Linked DNA regions of Drosophila melanogaster. The protein of the gene in region 2 interacts with the protein of the main gene of each other region in a pairwise test. Each region holds a gene or a part of one and is shown on either strand. Other genes may lie near its edges. The genes, in order: CG14232, fwe and CG31140.

The links.
Region 1: the proteins of fwe (region 2) and CG14232 interact in a two-hybrid assay, tested with the Drosophila melanogaster proteins (one large-scale study listed by BioGRID).
Region 3: the proteins of fwe (region 2) and CG31140 interact in a two-hybrid assay, tested with the Drosophila melanogaster proteins (one large-scale study listed by BioGRID).

The regions. Positions count from the first base shown.
Region 1 is NC_004354.4:19,702,444-19,706,195, forward strand, and holds the start of CG14232 (uncharacterized protein), read right to left. Parts: upstream 1,817-3,752; 5' UTR 1,696-1,816; exon of another isoform or gene 1,620-1,695; 5' UTR 1,576-1,619; coding exon 1,446-1,575; intron 1,388-1,445; coding exon 960-1,387; intron 755-959; coding exon 290-754; intron 231-289; coding exon 1-230. Other genes in the region: CG14230 (uncharacterized protein), read left to right, coding at 1,968-2,145, 2,207-2,496, 2,563-3,670, 3,733-3,752.
Region 2 is NT_037436.4:15,814,786-15,818,537, forward strand, and holds the start of fwe (flower), read right to left. Parts: upstream 1,626-3,752; 5' UTR 1,492-1,625; coding exon 1,489-1,491; intron 1,272-1,488; coding exon 1,151-1,271; intron 1-1,150. Other genes in the region: CkIIalpha-i1 (CKII-alpha subunit interactor-1), read left to right, coding at 2,263-2,388, 2,447-3,553. UniProt on the Drosophila melanogaster protein: Transmembrane protein which mediates synaptic endocytosis, fitness-based cell culling, neuronal culling, morphogen gradient scaling, and calcium transport. Regulates synaptic endocytosis and hence couples exo- with endocytosis.
Region 3 is NT_033777.3:23,961,140-23,964,891, reverse strand, and holds the start of CG31140 (uncharacterized protein), read right to left. Parts: upstream 1,713-3,752; 5' UTR 1,669-1,712; exon of another isoform or gene 1,659-1,668; intron 1-1,658.

The DNA.
Region 1 (3,752 bases), on a different chromosome or scaffold from region 2:
TTAACTGCGCCGCGCTCCTGCGACAGCGAGCCGGACTCCAGGTCCTCGGTGGTGGATAGGTAGTCCTCGTCCACGCAATCCTCGTCCTCGTCGGAGTCGCTCACATGCACGGTCACCTCGTTGGTCACGGGCTTGGCCCACTCGAAGTAGATGCCGAAGCCGATGTCGTAGCTGTCCGTGGCGAACTCCCAGAAGATGCACTTGCCGTTCATGTTGGTGGGCACACGGACCTGCAAAATTGTGCCGGTCAATATGGGCCTTGTTTCGTCATTAGTTGATTGCCACCTACCGTCACCGTGTCGCCGTGTCCAATGGTGATGACGCCGTCCCCATCGCCGGCGGACACCTCAGTCTTAAACTGCTCGATGTCGGGACGAGTCCAGATCTTGGCCGGGCAGATCATAACGTAGTCGTCGTACTCTTCCTCGCCGTGCTGTTCCTGCCCAACGCCCTCCAACGTCTGCTCTACATGCCCGTCTTGCTGCTCGGCCAGCTGCTGGTGCTGCTGTGTCTCGACCTCACCGAGCTTCAGTCCCTCCATGGCGTTGGGCAAGTCGGTTGAGCTGTTGTTGTTATTGCCAGGGACGTGTTCTGCTTCCTGGTGTCCCTTGTCCTCCGTGTTCTGATTCTGATTCTGGTTCTGGTTCTGCAGATGAAGCTGTTGCATGTACTGGTGATAGTGCTCCCGCTGCAGCTGGTGGATAAGCACGGCCTGCTGTTCGGGGTTTCCGGGGAACTGCTTCTCAGCGTACAGCTGTGGAACGAGTGTAAGCGTTAGAAGGGCCAAGTTAATGGTACAGGAGCTGGCATGCAATTGCCTGAGAACTGGGTCATGACCCCTTTTCAATGGCAGACAGCGCAGCCAAGGCCGAGCACCCAGTAATTATCATGCATTATTTAGCACAACAACAGGTGCAGAGGGCCGGGCCGGTGTGTTGTTGAAAAAATCGATGGGCTACCTTAAACTGCTGGTAAGTCTGCTTGTTGAGTGCGTCCTGCAGCTGGCGGCGCTGCAGCTCCTCCTTGTAACCCTCCTCGAGCAGCTCCTGCTGGGCGTTCTCCTGCCGCTCGCGTGCCTCCTTCTTCTCCTCCATGAGGCGCAGCTCCTTGCGCAGCGTCTCGTCGCGGTCCTGCCGCACGGCCTCAATGTACGGCCGAAAGGCGCTGCACATTGTGTCCAGCAGGTCGACGAACCCCTCCATCGCCTGCTCGCGCGTTATCTCACCGAGCAGCTGCCAGTGCTGCTGCCGGTCGCGTCCGATCACGTCCAGGACGCCCAGCGCCGGGGCGCGACTCGTGTTGAAGGGGCCCAGCGCCGCCTGCTGCTTGAAGGCGATCAGCTTGAGGTTGTCCTCGTACGACAAGTGGATGGCCTTGCCGGAGTTCCCTGCAATATGTGAGATTAGCCGTTATTGGTGCGCTAGTGCCGGGATCTCTGCTCTTACGCTTGTAGAACGTGAATGCCAGGCGGTAGAGCTCAATCAAAGGGAAGCCCCACTTCTCGGCCGATGATGGTGCCATGTCCGTCGACTGGGCCGTTTCACTGCTGCTTGTGCCGCTTGTCCCGCTCGCCATGCTGCCGTTGTTTGTGGGCTAGTCCACGATTGCTGGCCTGCAAACTTTTCGCACAAAACAAAACAAAATAATAGAATTTATTGTGACGTCTGCTGCCAGTGTGACCAGCCAGCTGCGCACCTAAAGTAATTGTATTGCTCGCCTTGCAACACTGACCGATGGGGATTATTTTTGTCTAACTTAATGTATTTGCCTATTTACAAAGTTGCTAAATAAATTTGAAAGCTGGTTTAGTGTTGCTTGGACTTGTTAAAAACCTGTATAAAGCAATTGGGAATTGGAATTGTGGCTATATTTAAGTGTAAGTTTTTATCTGCCCGCGGTCACACTGGCCCACAGCAATTCTTGCCGGGATTTGGATTCTACACGTGCATTGCAAGCGTAAACATAATATGGGCAGCACTCGGTTCTTCCTGGCGGATCTGCCGACCAGGACCTCGGAGTCGGACCTGCAGATCCTGTTCCAGGACTACGGTCACGTAGAGCACGTGGATCTGAAGCGCAAGGAGCAGGATGGGGCCACTAAGGTGATTGCCTTCGTCACCGTGCAGACGGATGATGCCCAGTACTGTAAGTTATCCGCGGAAGATCACAGCCAGACGGAAGGAGTAACCATAGCTTGGTTTTGTAGGCGTCAACGAGCTCAAATGGCAGAAGTTGCACGGCGAAAAGCTAAGAGTTTCTCTTGCCAAAGAATCGTTTTTGGATCGACTGAAGCGCGAACGCGAAGAGAACCAGCGCCGGGAACAGGGCGAGCCAGACGAGTCCGAGGTGCGTGCGCCGAGCTCTCAGCTCCTGGTGCAAAGTGGCCAAAACAAGCGCAGGGTATTCGGAGAGGATGAGGAGATTGGTGATGATGAGGTCGCTCCAGAGCTGCTGATTACCAAGAAGCGCGCCGCCAATTCCATGCACAATGGCCGGGTATGCACGCACTCATTGTTCCCAAGCTCATTGTCAGCTAAATTCCTTTCCTTTCCTTTCCCACAGATTGTCATCCAGCAGGAGCACGACGTGAAGCCACTCCATGTCATCGAACAGCACCGCAAGGCAGCCAAACAGAAGCCGGACGCCAATGTCAGCCAGGCGGAACAGAAGCGCAAGGAGTCGCTCAACAAGATGCGTCAGGGACACCAACAAAAGAAGTCAGCCATCCAGCAGGCGCTATCTGTGATATCAGTCGAAGGCAGTCAGGCAAAGAGAATAAAATTCAGCGACGCCGAGGAGGAGGAGGCGTCCAAGCCCGTCCAGAAAGCCAAGATACAAAAGCGGGATCTGTTCGAGAACGACGACGATGAGGAAGAGGAGCAGATCGTCCTGCCGCAGCATAAGGGCAAGAAGGGCGAGCGTCTGGTGGAGATGCAGAGCAAACAGAGTATAGATCCCCGCTTCCGCATCACATCGAACTTTGTGAACGAGGAGGAAGAGGCGGAGCTGGAGGATCAGCCTGAGCCGGAGGAGAGTGAGCGCAAATGGCACATGAACATTCTGGAGCAGGTTGTGGGACACGCGATCACCAGTGCGAACGATAAGGACGGTAAGTCGCCAAAGAACAAAAAGATGCTGCGCTTCGATCCGGCCAAGGAGGGCCATCAGAAGCTAATGCGCCAAAAGCAGCCCAAGGAGGAGGAGGAGAAGAAGGAGGAGACTTCCAGTACGAAAGCCAAGACCGCCGACGCGGGCAACAGTCAAGCTTCAGCCGTCTCGAAGACGGCCTTTTACATTGTCACCGACACGTTGAGGGATTCGCTGAACACGCGTGGAGAGGGTTTCAGCCTGCTGGACATGTTCGGCAGTGCACCGGAGAAGGAGGTGGCCAAGCGCCAGGACCAGTTGGAGAAGCTGGGCCATGAGAAGATCCTGGTGGGCAAGACGTCTGCCAATAAGCTCGGACTGGCCACTCTCAATCCGTTCTCCTACGACTCGTCCGACAGCGAAGACGAAACCGAAGTAAAGCCGAAGCAAGAGCAGGAGCAGGAGCAGGAGCTTGAGGTCAGCAAGGAGAACAAGGCCCAGCCAGCGAAGAAGTCGGGTCAAAAGAGGAACAAAAACAAATTGGAGTCCTTCTTCATACCCAGAAACGATCCTCGTCTCAAGGGTAAGAACGTGAATCTGTGCGTATTTTTTCATTCTCAACAAGCGATCGTCTTTTCTTTGCAGAGGGCGCCAAGTTTTTCAAG
Region 2 (3,752 bases):
AAACGTTTTGAATAAATAAATATTCCTTTGGTTGATCTCTAAAAATTCCAGGAATAATATGTCAATGAGGCATATTGTTTCTGTGGAATTTTCATTTATATACATATGTATGGTTTAGATTGATTTTTAAAATAATTTTTGTAAGTATTCTAACGACACGAAACCCAATAGCATAATCAAAACCCCAACTGCGATTAAAAAGATTGACTTGGACTTAATCAAAGTAGATCACGACTACTTAAAAGTTTATTGAACTGCATTTTTTTATGCATTCAGAAGGTGATGATGAAATTACAAAAAAGATGCCCCAATTGAATTTAAGATACGCATAGACTTATTACGATATTGCACTTATAACACGTGTGGCAGCCTAAGGGTTAAGGTTAACTGAGTCCAGATAAAAAAGCAAATACGCAAACGGGTAAAACAAAGTTAAAAATAGAGATGGAAAGAGGGAAGCTGCTGATACAACAAAAGGCAGTGCGAATTTCGATTGAATGGGCACAGAGAATTACATTCGATGCGGAAAGAAAAAGCAGAGCGCCAAACTTGACACAGAAAAGCTCCTATACATACTTGCAATTTCCTACACACGAAATAAAAAGTTATCAAACGAAATGGTTAGATAAGAGATATTAAGTGCAGGAAGCCCACTTAGTTAAGTGGGTGAATGTATTATTTTATATTTCAATAACAAAACAAAAAAAAACCTTTTTTGGACTTTGTTTTACCTTAAAATTATACGTTTCATTCTTAATTCATTTGGAAATCTCACACTTTACCCTACATTTCTTTGATTTTGATGTAAAAATAAACTTTAGCTACATACATAACTAGTATTTTTTTCAGTGTGTGAATTTGTGTATCCTTTTTGTGTTGTCTTTTCCATGTTTCCTTTCTCCGCTCTCACTGCCTCTCACCTCTCACTCACCCTCTCTTGTTTTTCCTTTATCAATGTCAGAGAGCGTGCGTACACACACGAACACAACTGCACACCTACACCTACGAATAGATAACAGCAACAACAACAAAGGGTGGTACACAAAAATCGATGCAACATATTTTTGGGCCGCCCAATGTCACGGATGTTTTTCCCAACTTTTTAATGTGTTAAGCTAGTAGATAATTTATTATATATCCTACAACTTACAGAAGGCGGCCACAATGCCCAGCAATCGACTTCCATATTTGAGATACCACGGCTGCTCCGGTCCAATTGGATCTTGTTGATTCGGCCGTGCCAGCAGACCCGTTATCTTTTCCGCAAACGACTGATCCGGGAAATAGACGGAAATAGGGAGAAATCGAAATGCAATTAGGAAAAATCGAAGCACAATTTTGTATTGTGACGCGGCGGCCGCTTTTTTTAACACGCACACATTGCCACGACAAAAACACACACACCAGTTAACGCGCGGCTCACATGCATACACACTGACACCGCTCACTGCGTCAGCATTTTATCTCAGTCAATCAACAACTACCTACCATGGCTATTTATTTAGTTAGTTAGCTAGGCTTAAACTAATTCGAACAATTACTATTTGCACTTTTCACGTCACACGGAACGAAAAAAATCCTGTTGTACTTTGCGTTCTGCTGCACGCGAACCGAACTAGATCGCGATTCTGATGGCCGATAGAGCCTATCGATACTCGGAAGTTATCGGAGGCGAATGGAACTAGTTTCCTGGTATCCTGGATTCACTACAACATTTTTTAATTTTTAAATTTATATTGCAATTAGTCAACTTCTTACTTTTTTCATAATTATTTGTATTTTCTTGTTTTGGGTTTCGAACATTCAAATAATTACACAAATACTTTTTTAGGTAATGAAAAAACTACAGTCTAAACTTGTAAATTGGTTTTTGTTCGATTATGATATTAAACAATATTTTCCGGTTCTCTTAGCAAATGTTAGGCAAATTTGTGTACATTGAAAGCTTTTATACCGTTCAATATGCAGGCGGCATCTTTAGAAAATTCACTTCGATCTCAGATCGTTCACCTAACTCCTAAATCTGAACAACTATCTCTATTCAAATCAATCAAAATTAATTTATTTTTAGATTTGCATAAATTTCTAAGTCCGTAAATTAAAAATCGATTAATTCAATTGCCTATCGACATTAAGCAGCTCTGCATTGTATCGATAAATTAAACATCTATCGATAGTATCGATTAGCAGACATCGAAGAAATCATTGATTACTTGCCTTTTATTAACTTGGTTTTTGGACCTCCTCGAAAATATCAGCAAAATGACAGAAGCGGAAATTTGCAAACTATGCAAGGATAACCGAGCAATTGAGATCGATCTCGAGAAGCCCAAATTCAAATCGGCCAATAAACTGCTGCAAAGACTTTTCGATTGGTACAAAATTGATGTAAGTTCTGAAAGTGAGTCCAATGGATGTCAAATGCAAAGAAACCCACGTATTTTAGGCTGCTATCCTGGGGGAAAATTACTGCATTTGCGAGCCCTGCTTTGGAGAGACTTTGCGCATAAGCGAATCCCTGGAGAAGTGGGGCACGGCCCAGGACGAGTTTCACCGGAGGCCCATCGAAATAGACGACTCCACTGCATTTCAGATCAAGTTGGAGGTGACATCAAACAAAGAAGAGGTAGAAACGGAAAAGAATGATGAGGAGAATTCTTTCGATCAGCATATCGCGGAGCCAGTGAAGGAAGATCCATTGGAAAAAAACGAGCATATGGAGATCGTAGTCGAAGAATCTTTGAAAACCGCGTCCGTGGATTTCTTCAGCGTGGGATTGTCACGCGATGGCTTGGCAGTCACCAAGTTCTTCAAGGACAAGACCCAAGCCACTCGGATGCTGTGCACCTGTTGCGGCCATGTGCTCGAAATCCTGACCCACATACGCATGCATTCTTGTAAACCCCGCCCGAATCCGGTCTACTATTGCCGCGATTGTGGTTCAGAGTTCCACAAACTACACGAACTACATGAGCACATGAAGACGATGAAACACAACAAGACCATGTGCGGCGCAAAGGATTTGGAATTTCTGTGCCTCAGATGCAACCAGATATTCCCACGCTATTTCGACGTTATCCGCCACGAGAACAGCGTTCACAATGTATCCGATTTCATCTGCGTGGAGTGCAACATGTCCTTCGCTAACCAAGGATCCTACAGGAGGCACACGAGGAGCCATAAAGTCAAATTCACGCAGCAGCGATTTTATGAGTGCCCATATAAGGACTGCACCTCAAGTTATCGAGTGTGGGCGCGCTTAATGTCGCACATGAGTTCCCACGGCCTCTTTTCTGGATTCAAAAGCAAAGTGCCGTCTACCCAACAGGAACGACGTCTTCTGGAGGGCAAGTTTATGACGCTGGACCCCATGAAACGGGTTGAACCCGATCGCCGAAAGTTGCCATACCGCAAGAAAAGCTTTTACGCTAAGGCAGATTTCCCGGAATCCCCGACGAAATGTACCAACGGAGGAGAGTTCATCAGCCTGCCCAAGAAAATTTCCCTGCAGAAGGGAAAATACATCAATCTTTCGGACAATTCAAGACCTTAGTTACCAACTAGGCTAGCAAATAATGGTAATCTTGAAAACTGATTAAATTGTATAAATTAATATTTCCACTACTGTGTGTATATTATTAATTCTTAGATAGCCAATTTTAGTATAACTTTTTTGTTATTAAGAAATTTACCCCCGCGTTGTATTCTTTACAATTGTGAAAAAAGGCGGATAAAACATACTTCCGTTTTAT
Region 3 (3,752 bases), on a different chromosome or scaffold from region 2:
AAGGCGCACAAATCCGCATTGTGTGTATACGCAAAGTTAAGGTCGGCATAATGGCCCTCAAGCACAAGGATCTTGGTCCTTATTTAGTGTATATGACATGTTTTTAGCATTGATTTTACATCGAATTATGTCCTAAGCTCATAATTCTATAACTATCTATTGTGACAACAAGATATGAGTTTCCTATTGTTTAAAACCCTCAAATTTTAGTTCGATATTCGATCCTATCGAATATTGATATTAACGCATCGTTTGTGTGCGCAGAAAAGCACCTACACGAAATTATAGTAGTTATGATGACTTAAAGCAGATTATAGATGGAATCAAGGAATATCTATAAAACTGGAATCCACATACGCAGTTACTTTCTATAAAAAAAAGTTGTTAACCCTTGAAGTAGAAGTACTGCGAACTTGAGAAATGAGTTGTGAACTTGGACTTGACGGTACTATTATTTGCACCGCAACTGTGAGTTTGGAGCCAGCCTGACGACGTGGAATGTCCAGGACCCGTTTCCCGTGTCCATATATCCTGGCCACCAGGCGATGTCCTGGCGACATGCGCACTCCGGAACCCACCACACTCGCTCGCGCGAACTCAACTCCACCACGACGGAGCGTTTCAAAGAAAGTGGCCAAGTTTAAGGATAAATCACAACGAGCAATATTTTTGCAACAAATGCGTTGAACGGGCGGCAATTTGGGGGTTGGGTGATGAAAACTTTGCGGCTTTGCTTTTCTTAGGGAAATTATTGTTTTGTTTTGGGCTGGGAGAGGCGCAGAAGCAGAAAAAACGGAAAATTATGGATGCTAATGGGGGGCCCAAAAAAGCGAGATATATAGATTTCAGAGGCTGTGTATACACACACACTCTACAACTGTAGACAAAGCAGCCGTACTTCGTACCCGTAGTGGCGCCCACCCAGCCCACTGACGCCCCCACCCCTTTCCCCCTCTGGACTTGCCACCCACTTTTCCCACCCAATGCTGCGCGCTTCGCTCTTTTCGGGCCGCATGAGCAAATCGCAATAGATAGAGAATTTTTTTCTTTCTTTCTTTTGCTGGCGCGGCTTGATTCCTTGCCACCACATCTATATGTATGTATATATATATATGTCTGATTGGTATATATATGCGAATATATATGTATCTGGACGGAGTGCGTGTGGCCTTGTCTTTTTCCATTTTCATTGCTAATCACACGAAGGAGTTAATTTGTTAAAACTTTGGCTTCGGATGGGAAAGTGGGGCCTGGAAAACTCTTGGTACTTGGCACATATGACAACGTAATTTTCACGCGCACACACACACTCGCGATTTTGGAGAGAGAAATTTTATGTACCATACATTTTTGAAGCTGCAAAATTTTGCACATTCGATTTTCACACTGCCACTAATGCTGCCTGCTACTGCTGCTGCTGGCGCTGCTGCTTTTTCCTTCGTTTTTCTTTTCTAGCCGCACTTTCGAATTTTTTTTCCTTCACCGGATGGAAAATTTTCACACGCACAGCAATCGAGTTAAAGCGAGTTTTTCGCAAGTTTTCATCGCGATTTCCCCCGAGTTTTCCACGCGTTTTATGCACTTTTTCGCTGCGAGTGTGTGAGAATTTTCCTGTGTGCTGGCTGTGTGAAAATGGAAATCCAGTGAAAATCCGCAACCGTTACGTACGGAAGAGCACACCTAGCTGCTGTGTGTGCTCCGCTGAAGACGATGGTGCGCTCTGCGGACGGGTCTGCAACTTTCTCGCGGCGCAGCGCCTTTATCGCTGCCTTCGCCGCTGCTCCGCCTGGCGCTCTCGCTGCGTCCCGCTCGCACACGCCGTGGGGCCAATCGCGCCCTCTCGCTCGACGCTGAGTGTGTTGAGTTCGCCGAATTCCTGTGTGCGTGCGTGCCCAACAACAAACAGGGGGAAATGTTGGGGAGCTCCCGTTAGGGAGAGAGCCAGGTCGCTCTCTATCTCTCTCGTTCGCAGTCAGGATGCTCTCTGGCGACCCCCCCTCCCCAAATAAAAATGAAATCAACAATTTGTTGGTCGGCGAGCTGCCAACTTGGCCCCAAAATAAATGTGGCCAAGCTAAGAGAGGAAATTGGCCCAAAGAACGACCATTATTTTAAATTAAGGCTTAATTGAAGGTTAGAAATGTAGGTTTTTTGAAAAAAATGAGTTTTACATTCAATATTAAAATCAGTAAGAAAATGCATTTTCTTATATTTTATAATTTAAGTTAGTAAAATCTCATAAAAACGAACTTTTCAAAAACCATTGCCTACTTTCTTGTGCTTATTCCGCGTCATAACCATGACGTACTATTGTCCCAACAGAAAAGAGTAGTACTGAAATATAAAAACTCTCACGCTCGATACCATCTTTATTTGCAGCAAAGAATGCATAAAGTAAACAGAGTTTTGATTGGTTACTTTGGATACAGCAATTTTTATATATTTATAGGGCTTTTAACTTACAACTATAGAGTTGAGCACACCGTCGATTAATCGCATCGCTTTACTTTGCTTATCATTAAGTTAATCTTTACAAATATGAACGTGTGTGAGCAACCGATATTGATGCTTTTTTGTGAAATTAAATGTATTGCAAATTGCATTTGCCAAGCGAAATTAGGAATAGGTTTAACAGCACTTCTATACACAATGTTTTTTATGCTGACACAGGGTGGTTAAATTACAATAGAACCGGTATACTTTTGGGTTACGTTAAATACACATACAATTAAGGCGACTTTAAATGGGTTCAATATAGATAATGCCTTTCTGGCGTTACTTTTGCATAGAGCCAACTTAGCCCAGGCCGTGATCGTCGAAGAAACTCTGCGGGGTCTCATCCTGGAAAGGGAGAATGCTTAGCTTCAGTTACATGTTACTATACTTTACAGCGCTTGGGGTAAAAGGAAACCAAATAAAAGTATCGATACTGGGGGCTAACTATGAAAAAGACTATGAAAAAGGGTGGTATATAGTAGCAACTAAAAACGAAAGGACACCAAACGGGTGCGCTAAGCCAGACATATAGGTAGATAGACAGTTTAGAGGGAGTGGAGCTCAGAGATCAGATCAGTGGAGGTGGAACAATGTGGGCGTCAAGAGTTTAGAGCAGTCAAATTGGTCAGTCACAACAACAGCAAAGACAACAATCAAAACTAAACGTTTAACAAAGACACTAAAAAGAAAACTGAGGTTCACCAGGTCTTACCATTTTCATATAGCATACGAGTACAATTAGGATTTTTTTTTCAAAAATACTTGGTTTTTATTTTAACTTGTTTTTCTCAGTTACAAAACACAGAAAATTTGGCTAAAACGTACAACACACATACATAAACATATATATATATATATATACTTGTAGATATAGATAAACTAGATTTTTTTATTCGGTTATTATTACAATTTTCAATTATATATCGTTCTCATTTAATCAACATTAAAGCTTACATGTTTCTATTGTAAGAATAGTATTGCATATATTTCCCCACTAAATTAGTTATTGCCCATTTGGTGATTGATTGGAATGATCTTTCGATTATAAAATGTAGATAGGAAGAGGAATATTAATTCAGTTCAGGAACCCCAGGTGGAACTACGTGAGGTTGGCTTGTTTTGCATGAACTTTTCTGAATCTATTGTGTCTGTGCGTGAAATTTACGAGATAGAGTGTATGAAAAACCGCATACCAGATGCTCTGATGTTACTATATAGTATTATTGCTTTTTGGAGCCTCACGCTGCTTGGCGTCT